Linked DNA regions of Canis lupus familiaris. The protein of the gene in region 3 interacts with the protein of the main gene of each other region in a pairwise test. Links are inferred from orthologs where the notes say so. Each region holds a gene or a part of one and is shown on either strand. Other genes may lie near its edges.

Region 1 (4,931 bases), on a different chromosome or scaffold from region 3:
GGAGAAGCAGGAAGATGGGCCACTTGACTGTGACCTGGGTCCTGCTATCTTTTCCAGTCTCACTGATCCTACCTCCACATACACACTCATGGTCTCCCCACAGAAAACCATAATAACTTTGTATTCTCATTTCCTCTACATTCACCTTAAGAGTTCATGTGTTTGAGTTTTGGAGCAAGGACATCCTATCTCAGATGCCTTCTCTGAACTTTGTACTGTGAGGCTGGCGCTAGAGTCAGTTAGGCAGTGACTGAGCCTAGAAGGTATCTCCCCATCATCCCTGCATTTTACTAGTCTCTTCTAATCACTATGTAGGTAGCCCTGATTGTTACAGGTCCCAAAGAGGTCACTAAATATTTCTCTAGGCTTTACTGCATTTCACAGAGTGGAAATTATGAGTTATAGGAGTATTTAAGAAACTCCTCTTCCTCGTGTCCCTTCTGTTCCACCTGCCATTCCCTGAGTGTATCATAGTCCACATATAATGTTGGCTCTACATGGAATATCTCCCTTTCCTTCCCACTACTGCAGGCTTCAAGTCTGACCTCCGGGAACTTTCCTCTGACCACCTCTGCTCTGTATGTGCCCTCCGTATGTGCCTTTCATTGTCAGCTGCCTCCACCGGCTGTGGGCTCCTTAAGTCAAGGAGCCAGGGTTTCTGAGTCCTTTGTGTGGCTCAGTGCCTGGCTCACAGTGCGTGTTGGATGAATTAATGAGTGAATGAGGCCTGCCAGGTGCCAGGGTGAGTGTGTTAGGATGGGGTCTCCGGGGTCAAGCTACACTGAGCCCTGGGGCGTGGCGTGGGGAAGCAGGGAATAGGGGCGTCCAGCGCTGGTACCTGCAGAAAGGCGGCCAACACGGCCAGCCCCCCCGGGCGTCCCAAGGCCTCCTCAACTTTGGCAAATGCAGTGCTGATGTGAACCACGTGGATCTGGAGAGAAACGGAGGGTAGAAGAGGGCAAGACCCCCGGCCCAGCGTCCCCCTTGGCCTCGCCGCCGCACGCTCACCTCGGCTGGGAAACGGTGGCCGTCGACCGTGTGCTCCGAGCCCGGGCGGCCCGCGGCCCCCCAGTGCAGGTGCAACTGCAGGGCCCGGTACTCCCGCCCGGGGCCCAGGGCCATCTCCAGCCCCGGAGGCAGGGTCAGCTGCACTGCGAGGGAAGAGCCAGGTGAGCCAGGGGGTGGCGGGGTGGGGGTGGGGTCGGGGGTGTCTAACCGCCAGGCGCGAGCGTGGCGGGCGGGCCCCCGGCTCTCGGCCCCGGCGCGTCCCCCGACAGGCTCCGCCCCCCCGGGCGGCTCCGCGGCGAGACCCCCCTCACCGGTGTGGCCATTGTTGCGCAGGCGCAGTTCTGGGAGTGGCGGGAGCTCAAAGCCCAGGAGCTCCAGCGGGGGCAGCGCCGGGCTCAAGGCGGCGAGCTGGGGCCGGATATCTACGGGCGACTGGAAGCGGCCCGCGCAGGCTGGGGACACCTGGGGCCAGGGCGGGTCTCCTGGAGCGAGAGAGTGTGGACCGGAAGTCTGGTGACAAGATCAGGGCCGGTTAGGGAAGCGGGGTAGAAAAAGTGAGAGGGTGGAGTGAGAAGGCATCGGGCGGGAAATAGAGATCGGGGCTGGGGACCGAGAGGGCAGCGGGCCGTGCTGCGGACTGGCAGGCGGGTGCAGTGGGTGGGACGCCCGGGAACCAAAGTTCTGGGGGGTCAGGTCGGCAGAGCAGGGTGCCCAGGTTGGGTGTGCAGGGGGTGGGTGTCTCACCTCCATAGCGCCAATGACTGTGGTCATCCCCTGCATAAGTGAGAAGGACGGAAAGCCGATATTTAAGCCCAGTCCCTCCCCAGCGGCCAGAAGGAAGTGCGTTCCCCTCCTTGACAGGGGCATAGGGGGTAACGGGAATGCCTTACGTGGCCAGGTATAAAGCACAACAGACTGCAACCAAACATAACACCATAGCTTGGTAGATCAAAGATCCTACAGGCCCCAGAGATACCAGTTTGCAGCCTTGTCTTAGTCTGTAAAGTGGGGGGTGGGGTGGGGAAAGGGGTTTGGTCCCCAGGCCCAAAACAATAGACCCTCTTCCCTTTCTCCCTGTCTCCAACTCCCTTCCCAAGGTTCTTCATTTCTGAGTCTCCTGGTTTCTCAGTCAAAAAACCAGGTTCCCCTACTTACTATTCCTTCTTCCTAAGTCTCGCTTTCCTCATCTGTAGAATGGGGATGCGGTGATCTCTACAAGCCCTCCTGGCTCTTCCATTGCTACCCACCCTGCTACCGTCTTTCTTCTCTCCCCTCATATTCTTTCTTCTCTCCTCATATCTCTTTCCATTTCCTTCATCTCTCTCTCCTCTCCAACCTCCGCCTTTCTTTTTCATCTCTTCCTGCTCACCTCTCTCCATCTGTGCTTTTTGGTCTCCTCACAGATCCCCTTCTAGCTCTGAAAGGGGGGAGGGGAGTGTTTAGTGGCATGAGATCCCAAGGGGATGGGAAAGGCTACTGTCAGTGTATAGGCTCCTTTCCTTCGCTGAATAATCCCTGCCTGGGCTAGGGTTGAGCACCTGGAGGACAAGCCTCCTGGAGCCTAGACTTGGAGGGCTGATGACCACTTACCTTTGTTGTGCCTGTGGGCATTATTCTGGGAGCCTGGGGTGTCCCTGGGCGCCTCAACAGTAGGTAGATCCTCTAACTTCAGAGAGTCCTCTTTTCCTGGTTCAGTCTTCATTCCAGATGGGTCCTCCTCTCCAGGTGGGTCTTCCTCTCCAGGTGGATCCTCCTCTCCAGGCGGGTCCTCCTCTCCATGTGGATCCTCTTCACTGGGTAGGTTTTCCTCATCCAATTGATCATCCTCTCCAGATGAATCTCCTCCCAACCCGGGTGTCCCCTGTATCCGGGACAGGCTCTGGGGATGGACAGGAACCAGGAGTGGCAGGATCAGCAGCAGTTGCACACCAGGGCCCAGAGAAGGGGCTGGGATCAACAGAGGGAGCCAGGGACTGGGGCACAGGGGAGCCATGCGGCTGACTGTGGGGTGTCCCAGACACGGTGTGTACGGGCTGTACGTGCATTGGAAACAGGAGCTGGGTGGGGGAGGAGCAAGCCTGGAGGGGAGCAGGCTGACTCACAGAGGGCCCTTTTGTAGAGATGGAGCCAAAGTCCCGTGGGTCTGCCTGGCCCTGTGCCCCTTCCCCGATACCAAAGCCTGGATGGGGGTGGGTGTGAGAGGCAGGTATATGCACAGGCAGGAGGTTATCAGGGTCATAGGCTCAGCCTGGAACCCAAGGCACCACCTGGCACTACACAGGCTCTCCCTGGCACCACCCAGCTGCTCACCAGCCAGCCTCAGCTAACCCTGGCCTGCTTCCCAGCCCCAGGCAGAGAAGGGGAAAGACAGGGAGCTGGGGCCCGCACAGCCTCTGGCTGAGAGGGAAGCAGCCCATGAATATATCCCTGGCCGAGCCACAGACCAGATAAAGGGGTAGGACAAGCTGCTGGGGAAGCCTGGGAGTGGGTGGACAGATAGGTAGATGGGAGGCAAATCTGAGTATAAATGAAAAACTGAGTGTATATAGGAGAGGAACGGTGATGTTTTAAAGTAAATTTATTTTTCATCATGTTACACCTCTTCTCAAAAACCTTCATTGGCTTCCACCTGCCCATCTTCTTCCTGTAGTTGACTAGAGCTTGTTGGGGGAGCTGCTTCCTACTGTTCTCCCTCATACTCCAGCCAAATTAAAGTATTAATTTTTCCCCCAGACCTTTAACCCCCTTTGTTCATCTAGTTCTCACTGCTGGGAATACCATTCAGTCTTATATTTAACAAATATTTATTTAGCATCTACTATGTCCAGCATTAGACTATGGACTAAAGGTATAGAAATGAATAAGACACAGTCCCTGTCCTAAGGATCTCACTGTCTAGTGAGTGAGGGCAAACACTATCACAATATTCAGGGGAAAGAGATTAATTCTGCCTAAGAAAGTAATACAGAAGTAGGCAAAATATGATCAGGGCTTTGAAAAAGAAGCAGTTCAATTGCTAAAAACAAGGTGGAGAATGGGATTTTGTGCAAAGGAAAGGCATCAGATATCTTGTGCAGGAGAATGACGGAATCCAATTCTCATATTAGGTTGTGCTGAGGGCTGGGGGAGAGCAGGGGCAAGGAGAAGAGTGAAAGGACCCCAAGAATGGACTTGGGGTTCCCAGTATGCCTGTTCATTTGAGAAACATTTATTGAGCCTCCTCCAACCCTCCAAGAACTGTTCTAAGCCATAGGGATGCAGCATTGAACTAGAGGACAGCCTCTTCTGTTCTGTAGCTCACATTATAGTAAGGTCCCTATGGTTTCAACAAACCAGAAGAAAGTAAGACCATCTCAGGAAGTTCCTAGCTGGGGCTAACATTCAGTAGATATGCACCCATATGGTTGTATGGATTGGAGAAATATATTGAAGTATTTCTAATTTTGTTGAGAACTAGCCCCTAGCTTCAGGGTGGCTCCTGCTACCTCACTCCTCCCCAGGAACTCTACTGATCTCTTATCTAAAGAGATAAATGCTTGGCAGAGCTGAGGCCCAAGGACCCCACTTGAATGCCCCAGCCAGCCTCCACTGTCATGAATGGGTACTTGTGTACCCACTACCCTGTTAATGATTTTTACTCTCTCTTCTGTCTAAATCCCTTGTATGGTTCAAGACTCAGCTCAAATGCCACCTCCTCCACTCTCTACCATGGAAGAGATTTCTGGTGCCGCTGAACCACCACAATTCTTTGCCTGCACTTGCTAATAACCTTGCCCACCATCCAACTTATATTATAGTGATTTATGACATTTTATCTGCTCTAATAGTCTTGAGCTCCATTAAGGGCAGGGTCCAGTATTTGATTAAGTCTTTTATTCACCAACCATTATTGAGCATTTATCTCTCTGCAGATCACCTTGCCA
Region 2 (5,127 bases), on a different chromosome or scaffold from region 3:
TAACTTAAGCAAATAGTAATAATATTCTCAAAATAACAATTTTATTTCTAAGGAAGTTATTAAACCATATAAATGAAGAGTCTAAGATTAGCTCTTCAGGGACAGTGAATTGCTCAAATGATGTTAGGAATCGGTCTGCCTGCCTATCTATTCTGGTGAGCTTATTCAGTGAACTTATTTCATTCTTAAGCAAGTTCTGTGCAAGTATTGGCAAAGATACACACCAACGGGACCAGACTTATATTTTACTAGTTAGTAACCTCAGTGGAAAACAAAATTGCTGGATATTATGGTATCTATGTTGAACATTTTGAGGAACTGCCAAACTGTTTTCCAAAATGGTTGCAACAACATTTAACATTTCCACGGGTAACGTCTGAGAGTCCTAGTTTCTCCACATACTAACATTTATCATTGTCTGTTTTTTTGCCAACCTATTGAGTGTAAAATCATTGTGATTTTGACTTGCTTTTCCCTAATGGCTAATGACGTCGAGCATCTTTTCATGGGCTTATTGGCCATTTACGTATTTTCTTTGGAGAAATATTTATTTAGACACATCACCCATTTTCAGTTAAATTTTATTTTGTTTTGTTTTTTCAGTTGTAAGAACTCTTTACATATTCTGGATACAATTCCTTTATTGTGTATATATGATTTGCAATATTTTCTATATTTTCTATTTTGTAGGTTATCTTTACACTTTCTTTCTGAGGTTCTTTGAAAATCAAAGTTTTAAAAAAAAAAAAGAAAATCAAAGTTTTTCATTTTGCTGAAGTCCAGTTTACCTTTTTTTTCTTTTGTCCTTTGTGCTTTTGGTATTATATGTAAGAAGGCTTTGCTTAATCCAAGGTCACAAAGATTTACCCCTACATTTTCTTGTAGCAGTTTTATAGTTTCAGCTCTTACCTATAAGTCTATGATTCATTTTGAGTTCATTTTTTCTGTGGTGTGAGGTAGAAGTTCAACTTAATCTGTCTGCCTGTAGTTATCCAGTTGTTCCAGCACTATTTGTTGAAAAGACAATTCTTTCCTCTGTTGAGTTATTTTGGCACCTTGTCAAAAATCAATTGTCCCTAAATGTATGGATCTATTTATGGACTCTCTATTCTGTTGATCTATAGGTCTATTTTTATGTGAGTACCACACTATTAATTACTGTGGCTTTATAATTAGTTTTTTTTATTTATTCATGAGAGAGAGGCAGAGACACAGAGGGAGAAGCAGGATCCCTGTGGAGAACCTGATGCGGGACTCGATCCTGGAACCCTGGAATCACAACCTAAGCCAAAGGCAGACGCTCAACCACTGAGCCACCCAAGCATCCCCTTATAATAAGTTTTTAAATTGAGAAATGTGAATCCTCCAACTTTGTTCTCCTTTTTATGAGATTGTTTTGGATAGTCTGGGTCCCTTACAGTTCCATATGAATTTTACAATCAATCTATCAATTTCTCACAAAAAAAAAAAGAATAAAAAGAAAAGGAAGCTGAAAGAAAAGGAAAAAAAGAAGCTGAAATGTTGATAGGGACTGTGACTGTGTTTGTTTTGCATACCAATTCTGGAGGCCCGGGGTCATTTTACAAAAGGAAATTTCTCCAGTTCATAACCCAAGTAATATACATCTGGGGTCTTTACCCCTGTGCACCAGACCCAGCAATGGTTACTTGAATATTAGATATTCCTTGAGAGAAAGATATTATGTTCTACTCTTTGCACTCTGTGTAATAATCTTTATTTATAGGGCACTTTACAAATGTGAAGCACAATATTCGAAGCCAACTTTTGGTTTAATCACTAGATGACTAGTTACTTCATAAGAAAAATCATTTTAATCCTACATCATATCAATTTAGGTGTAATAATCCTTGGGCTTAAGTTTGGGTGTGAGTTTAGCAAATATTTCTAACCGCAAAGCTAACTGCTGCTAAAATGACCTTTTAAGAAAACTACATAGATTAGGCAGACCATCTGCCTCTCCATTGCGTGGTCCAAGATGATCAAATACTAGTCCCTATCACACATGACTAATGCAGAATTTCGCAAAATAGTCTATTCCCTTTATCATTATATCCTAAGCAATATATCACTTACACCATTTCTTTCCATTTTGATTTAGGAATTAAATTTGAATTAGGAACACATTGCTGCCTGCAGAGGGCAGTCATAACATATCTAGACATTCAAAACCAGAAGCTCTACCTGGAATAGAACACTAGTGGATAAACTGCTGATCCCCAAAACAGATAATCCTGTTGCTTCAGATAGTGAAGCAGAGAGATCCCCAGCTGGCTGAGAGATGGCACAGCATCCACCAGACGAAGAGAAGTAGACTGGATCCTGGGCTACTGCTGTTAAAAACAGGCTGCAGGACTCATTTAGAACTTTATTGTAAAAACATGCCCAGTCTTCCCCAAGACAACCAAGAGTGCCTCCAGGAACATTTCTCTAGGCCATCTATGTGGAAGCAATTTCTGCCCCTGCGTAGGGCAGAGGGATATAAAGCAAACATTCACCAAACCATGGAAAATGAAGGTAGCACCAAGGCTGTGCATGATGTCAAGGTAAGACAATCTCCACAACCCCTGATCCTTTCTTGACAAGGAAAATTTTTATCTGGAAAGAATTTAAAACCATAAGCAAGCTTTCATACTATTGCTCTATCTTACTAATAGTTTATCAAAATGTTTTCAAGCTAACCCCAAGAGGAAAACTAGAACTTTGATAATAATTACCAGATCTGTCCAGTTTTCTCCAACCTAAACAGCTTCCCTTTACGAAGACAAATGCTTATTTATTGTTTGTTTGTTTGTTTGTTTGTTTCAGGAGGGGTAATGTTTTTTAAAAAAGGAAATCTAGCCATAGATTTTTATGACTGTTGATATTTTGTGGCTATTGTAGTTTGGATATTTTTCTCTAAAATAAAATTTATTTCTCGTACAGTATTGAAAGAAAAACTATAGACTGCTTTCTACAAAAATTGCTCAAGAAAAAATTGATAAAATAATACAGGAACATAAGAACATTAAGAAGCTAAGGGATTTTTTCCTGAATTCATAGTTTCCTATGGTGAATTTTTTAAGCATGAATTTCTATCAATAGGTAACATTATTTCCCCAAAGAGTGACAATTTGCCTGCTCGGTGTTGTGTGTATCTTTGCAGTTTAAGTCTGTAAATCCTCTTAACTATGAATAGAACCATCTCTTAAAAGGTTATTCAGAGAAAGGGGGATGGGCCATGTTACTGCCTACAAATAATCAGAGCTCAGAATTAAATGCTGCAATCATACTACAGCAAACCTATCCAAATACTTTAACACCAAAAAACTGATCCGTCCTTGTGCCATGGCTCATATCCTGACAATAAACATGATTTATTATTGGATATCTTATTTTAACCAATTGGCACAGGAAGAAGAAAAATGTAGAAATGTACTGACCTTCACTTTTGACCTTTCAGACATATGTGAACAAATAATATGTGATATTCACAGCTCCTATCATCACCTGAGCACTAGGTCTTTAGGAAGCTAAAATGAAATAGATATACTGGCTGGAAGTCCTTAATTAATGGGCATCTAAACCTAAATGTAGGGAACCTATGCAAAAGAGATTTCTGAAAGGTAGAATTTGGAGGTTACTCTGCGGAAACAGCAACAACAACTTGGGTATATTTTATGTGTGTGCACACATATAATTTCAAAGTTCTAACTGTATTGAGGGGTACTCTTTAAACAGAATCATAGGCAGAGGGATCCCTGGGTGGCGCAGTGGTTTAGCGCCTGCCTTTGGCCCAGGGCGCGATCCTGGAGACCCGGGATCGAATCCCACGTCGGGCTCCCGGTGCATGGAGCCTGCTTCTCCCTCTGCCTGTGTCTCTGCCTCTCTCTCTCTCTCTCTGTGACTATCATAAATAAATAAAAATTAAAAAAAAAAAAGAATCATAGGCAGATAAATTGGAAAAGTATTTATGAATCAGCAGTACATCTTCCCACAGCATCCTGGAATCAAATACACTTCCAGTACTGGACAATCCTACCTGTGATACTGACCTCATTCACCCAGATAAACGGGTTCCAGCCAGTACAGCAGCAGGTATGAGTAGTCAGGAGTGATCCAGTTGAAATGCTACTGGCCTTCCCACTCAGTTTTGCCTCCTCAAAAAATCTTATGTTGCATCTGAACATAGATACACATATAGGTGAACATGTCCCTCTTCTAGCATATATGAGGATGATAGAACTCAATCCATTTTAATTCTACAAACAGCATTGCATCCTTACTATGTGTAAAACCTGGGTTAGGTTTTGAGAAAGAAAAAGATATGCTCCTTCTCCTTGGCAGACTTACAATACATTGGAAAACAGACAAACATATCAACATTTATTAAGTTATCGTATTATCACCATGACTCATGTCAACAGTAGAGGATATCTATGTAACTACATTCTTTTGATCAGTAAGGCAGTAAAATGTTAGGGATGGCATATGACCAATATAGAGTAAAACAACTGAAAATTGCCTAATGAAAGAGTTAAAGAGATGAAATTTAAAGTAGACATGAAATAATGTCTTAGAAATATGGAAAAGTGGGCAGCCCGGTGGCTCAGTGATTTAGGGCTGCCTTCAGCCCAGGGCATGATCCTGGAGACCCAGGATTGAGTCCCACGTCAGGCTCCCTGCATGGAGCCTGCTTCTCCCTCTGCCTGTGTCTCTGCCTCTCTCTCTCTCTGTGTGTCTCTCATGAATAAATAAATAAAATCTTTAAAAAAAAGAAATATGGAAAAGTAGACAGGGAGAGCATGGGATGGAATGTGTTTAGATGTCTAGAGGCCAGTGATAAAACCTTCAAAAATCTGCAACCTAAGCCTCATACATTATACAGAAATTAATTAAAAATGCATCATGGACTTATAAAATGTACAACTGTAAGTAAAACTATAAAACTTTTAGGGGGAAAATTTGTTAATCATTGTGATTAAGGCTAATCAGAGTTCTTGGGCATCAAAAGTATAGTCCATAAAGGAAAAATTAAAAAGTTGAATCTCAGAATATAAAAAAGAAACATTTGCTCTGCCAAAAACTGTTAAGAGGATAAAAAGACAAACTACAGACTTTGAGAGAATA
Region 3 (4,803 bases):
CAAAAGGACCTGCACAAGAATGTTCACAGCAGCCACAGACATGACAGCCAAAAACTGGAAATAACCCAAATGTCCACGAAGTGGAGAAACTGTTGTCCATTTATACAATAGAATACTACTCGGCAATAAAAAGGAACCAACTATAGATCCTTGCAACAACACGCATCTTGAAAACATAGAGGAAAACAACCTAGACATAAAAGACCAGGAGCCAGGTAACTCCGTTTACATAAAGTACCAAGAACCGGCTGAACTAACCTATAGTGACAGACAGTGGATCAGTGGTGGGGACGATGGGAAGGAGCTAAAGAACATTCTGGGGCTCTATATTGTGTTGAATAGTGGTTACTCGTGTATGTACAACTGTCAAAACTCATCACACCTAACTACTAAGATCCATGCATTTTATTATGGTATATAAGTAATACCTCATTTCTTAAAATGCTGGGATACCACTTTTTACTAAACTGAAAGAAGATTTTTTTTAAATAAAATAGTCCATGTTAAAAAAAAAAGAAGCAGTCAAGCATTTCCGTATCTTACTGGTAAAAATTAAAGTGGAACCTTTCAGAAAATTCTTACACACTGTCAAGTATCTATCCTAAGGAAGTAATTAAAGAAACAAAGACTTATGTATATTTATGTATAATACTTTCCCATTTTCTCACATAGCAAATAACTGGAAGAATCAATTTTTCAATAACACTATATCTTTGTTAATGGTTAAATAGCAGAATATTAGCAAGCTGTTAAAAATCATATTTCAAAGAATTCTAATGGCATGTAAAAATGCCCAAAATATGATTATTTTTAAAAATTTAAATGTTCCCAAATTTTATAACAGTATGTATGAACTGACCTATGCAAAATATATATATATGTATATACCTGAAACTAATATACTATTGTGTATAAATTACACTAATAGTTAAAAAAAAAGATATACCCACACAACTTAAAATTCCATGACTACTAACATCACTTTGAAGAGTAATTTCAATCTTAATGTAAATGTGAATCTTAACTTCCATACTGTAAAACAGCAATAACTAATACCCTGAGATGTTGGAAAGATCAAACAAAAATATAAAAACACTTTAAAAATATAAAAGCATGATATTAATAGTTGTTTTACATCATCTACAATAATCTCCTATCTAGATGCTCAACTTTCTAATTAAGGACATAGTACCTAGGAGCATTAGGCTATAAACCTGAAACAAATATAAATGCTGCCACCCTCTCTTGGGTTACATATGAGTACCCTCTGTCTGCATGGAATAACCCTACATGCATGGTGCACTGCTTGAAGGACTTTAAAGACCAGGTTCAAATCCTGACTAGCATATTTTTAGACAATGTAATGAACATTGGCTCTGCATCAGCAAAATGGGTGTTCAATGCATTGCTGTTTCTCTATTATTATTAGGTGTTCAGCTCCTGCAGTTATTTATCTGCAGATAATACCAGCTGCTGTGTATTAAATACTATCATATACTGGACTTAGGTATTTTACAAATGGGTAAAACCTTGATCCCTCTGCAATTGGGGATATCCCCACTGTACAGAGCAACTGAGGTTTCAGTGATACACAAACACCCGAGGTGAGTTAAACAAAGAAAAAATTTCAATTCACATCAAATTTTAAAACTGGGGGCAGCCCGGGTGGCTCAGCGGTTTAGCACCGCCTTTGCCTGGGGAGTGATCCTGGAGACCCGGGATCGAGTCCCACATTGGGCTCCCTGCATGGAGCCTGCTTCTCCCTCTGCCTATGTCTCTGCCTCTCTCTCTCTGTGTGACTATCATAAATAAATAAAAATTAAAAAAAAAAGGGGGGGGGGGGCAGAGATGTATTCCTTCTCCGATGCCAGCCATCATTTCCCAGGTGCCTGCTGAAGCTAATCCCTAGGGGAAAGGTGTGCTGCTTTCTGCATCACCTGGAGCACAGACCACTGGCAGGAAAACACCCAAATGGCGTGTGTGGGCTGTGTTCTTTTAAGAATATTTACGATGAAAAAAAAAAAAGAAAAAAAAAAAAAAAACGACACGTGAAAACCGAAATGTGCAACACGCGAGGCAGAGTGAGCTCAAGTATTTAGGAAAGCAGGTGCACCTAAGTCGTCCTGCCCCTTCCGAGAGCCCACCTCGGGCGCCGTCCACAGTCGGGTATGTCAGTGCGGGATGAGTCACAACCCACCTCTCGTCGGTGAGTACCGCTCATTTCCCTCTTTTTTTTTTTTGTTTTGTTTTGTTTTGTTCCTGTAAACAGTTTTCCAAGGAAACCTGAAATGTGTGAAGGGCTGATCCGGTTACACGTCTACCTCCGGCAGGGCCAGCACGCGTGACCCCCAGAAGCAAGGCAGTAGCTCCGGCCCTGCTCCCCCTCCACCCCCGCTCGCCCCCGCCCCCGCTCACCGGCTCTCCCAGGCACGCTCCTACCTGCTCCTACCTGCTCCTGCTGCTCCTACCTGCCTGTAGCCGGTACATCGGGCACCACCGGCCTTCGCCGGCCGCGGCGTCCACACCGCAGGGGGCACGGCAGGTGCCCCGCACCCCCCCTCCCCGCCCGCGACTCTAATGCGTTAGGAAGGCGGGGTTAGGAAGCCTGCGCGCGGGGCTCCAGGCTCGAGGCCTCGCCGCCCGCGGGGCTCCCTTCCGGCCCGGCACCGCCGACCCGCCGAGCGGCCCGCACACCGGGGACCCTCGGGAGCAGCGTCCCGGCCGCCGGGGTCGGCGCGCCCCGTCCTCCCTGGCCCGGGGCTGAGTCAGCGCGACGCCGGGGCACCGGGGCTGCCAGGCCGGGCGGCGGGGCGGGGCGGGGCGGGGCGGGGCCGGGCCGGGGGGTCGGGGCGGGGTCGCCCCGCTCCTCTCCCGGGGGTCGGCCCCCCTCCGCTCCCCTGCCGGGCCCGGGGGGTCATGGGGTCATGGGGTTAGGGCGGGGCGGGCCCCCCCCACCTGCGCTCCCCTCCCGGGCCCGGCGGGTCATGGGGTCATGGGGTCGGGTCGGGCCCCCCTTCCGCTCCCCTCCCGGGCCCGGAGGGGTCATGGGGTCATGGGGTCATGGGTCGGGTCGCCCCCCCCGCCCCCCGCTCCCCTCCCGGGCCCGGAAAGCCGACGGGCCGAGCTCGGGAGCCGGCCGCCCCGCCAGGCCCCGCCGGCCGGACGCGAAGGAGCCGGGCCGCCCGCCGCCGTCCGAGAGGCCGCCCCTCGCCAGGCCCCGCCGCCGCCCGCCGCCCGCCGCCCGCCGCCCGCCGCCCGGCTCACTTGGCTCGGAGGCGCAGCAGCTCCTCAAACTGCGGGGCTGAGCCGACCTCCACCACGGCCGCCGCCTCGGCCGCCCCCGCCGCCATGCTGCCGCCGCCAGACAGGAGCAATCGAGCGCGGGCGGCCGGGGGGCGGGGCCTCCGGGGTCTGCGCGCGGAAGCCCCGCCCCCGCGGCTGGCGCAGGCCCGAGGCGGGGACGGGGGCGTGGCTTCCGGGGGGCGTGGCCGCGCTGCTCCTGGCTCCGCCCCCCGCTCCGCCCCCTCCCGGGAGCTCCCGCTGCAGCTGCGGGGGAGCCGGTGCGCGCGTGCGAGTGGGTGGAGGGGAAAGCCGCCAGGTCTGCACGTTTCCACCTCGAATGAAATTAAGTGGAAGGCGGACTTGTTACCGAAAACGGGAAATCACATTATTTATTTGAGATGATGCAGGAAGAGCCACGAGGTCGTTTGTATCCTAACTGCGGTGGTACCTGTGCAAACCCGAACATAAATAACATTGCACGGGACAAAACACACGCAGACACACGGATTCAACTAACACCGGGAAGAAGAGGGGCCGACGGTGTGAATGTGGATGTCCTGGCTGGGGTTTTGCAGGATGGCTGTGCGAGATGTCATCTTCGGGGGGAGAAGGTACACAGGATCTCTCTGTGGACTACTGTAAAATTTGAAACAAACTTTTTTTCAATAAATAAAACCCAGAGGCCCTGGGTGGCTCAGCGGTTGAGCGTCTGCCTTCAGCTAAGGGCCCAATCCCAAGATCCCCAATGGGGCTCCCTGCATGGAGCCTGCTTCTCCCTCTGCCTGTGTCTCTGCCTCTCTCTCTCCCATGAATAAATAAATAATAAATCTTTAAAAAAATAAAATAAAACCCAGAGATTGCAATGCAAAGATGCAATAGGAAGTGGGGGGAACAGCGCCTTGCAAAAGAGGATGCATACTCCAACGGCTGTTTTAAACAGAATTATATGTAAATAAAATAGCATAACTATATATAGCTGAACAGTAGCATTTAAAAAGAAAAAAGTCGGGATCCCTGGGTGGCGCAGCGGTTTGGCGCCTGCCTTTGGCCCAGGGCGCGATCCTGGAGACCCAGGATCGAATCCCACATCAGGCTCCCGGTGCATGGAGCCTGCTTCTCCCTCTGCCTATGTCTCTGCCTCTCTCTCTCTCTCTGTGACTATCATAAATAAATAAAAATTAAAAAAAAAATTTAAGAAAAAAAATAAAAAAGAAAAAAAAAAAAGAAAAAAAAAAGAAAAAAGTCTTCAGAAGGATATGCCCCAAAGTGTGAGGAGAGCTTGCCCCCAGAAAAGAGGGGAGTCAAAGGGAGGACCTTCCCTTTTACATCTTACACTTCTTAATGTCATTTGCATTTTTTCAAAGACAGGGACTGGCTTTGTAATTTAAAAAATAATGAAATTGTAATGCACTAGGGAAATGTGCTATAGTGATTCTTTTTCAAAAAGCAGCAGTAATCAGCCCCTCTAATGTGGCTGTTTTAAAAATCCCGACTTTCCCTTTAAATGGAATTTGCTGAGAG

What was found. The genes of interacting proteins can lie anywhere in the genome.
Region 1: the proteins of GLRX3 (region 3) and CA9 interact in binary tests that used the Homo sapiens proteins (3 or more experiments, as listed by UniProt). The two-hybrid records come from large-scale screens. The link is inferred for Canis lupus familiaris from reciprocal best matches to the Homo sapiens genes GLRX3 and CA9.
Region 2: the proteins of GLRX3 (region 3) and RGS20 interact in binary tests that used the Homo sapiens proteins (3 or more experiments, as listed by UniProt). The link is inferred for Canis lupus familiaris from reciprocal best matches to the Homo sapiens genes GLRX3 and RGS20.

What each region holds. Positions count from the first base shown.
Region 1 is NC_049232.1:52,498,890-52,503,820, reverse strand, and holds the start of CA9 (carbonic anhydrase 9), read right to left. Parts: upstream 3,002-4,931; coding exon 2,599-3,001; intron 1,783-2,598; coding exon 1,753-1,782; intron 1,491-1,752; coding exon 1,320-1,490; intron 1,152-1,319; coding exon 1,009-1,151; intron 932-1,008; coding exon 839-931; intron 1-838. UniProt on the Homo sapiens protein: Catalyzes the interconversion between carbon dioxide and water and the dissociated ions of carbonic acid (i.e. bicarbonate and hydrogen ions).
Region 2 is NC_049250.1:5,821,416-5,826,542, forward strand, and holds the start of RGS20 (regulator of G-protein signaling 20), read left to right. Parts: upstream 1-2,126; 5' UTR 2,127-2,399; coding exon 2,400-2,564; intron 2,565-5,127. UniProt on the Homo sapiens protein: Inhibits signal transduction by increasing the GTPase activity of G protein alpha subunits thereby driving them into their inactive GDP-bound form.
Region 3 is NC_049249.1:39,089,123-39,093,925, reverse strand, and holds the start of GLRX3 (glutaredoxin-3), read right to left. Parts: upstream 3,421-4,803; 5' UTR 3,351-3,420; coding exon 3,265-3,350; intron 2,602-3,264; exon of another isoform or gene 2,488-2,601; coding exon of another isoform or gene 2,450-2,487; exon of another isoform or gene 2,440-2,449; intron 1-2,439. UniProt on the Homo sapiens protein: Together with BOLA2, acts as a cytosolic iron-sulfur (Fe-S) cluster assembly factor that facilitates [2Fe-2S] cluster insertion into a subset of cytosolic proteins.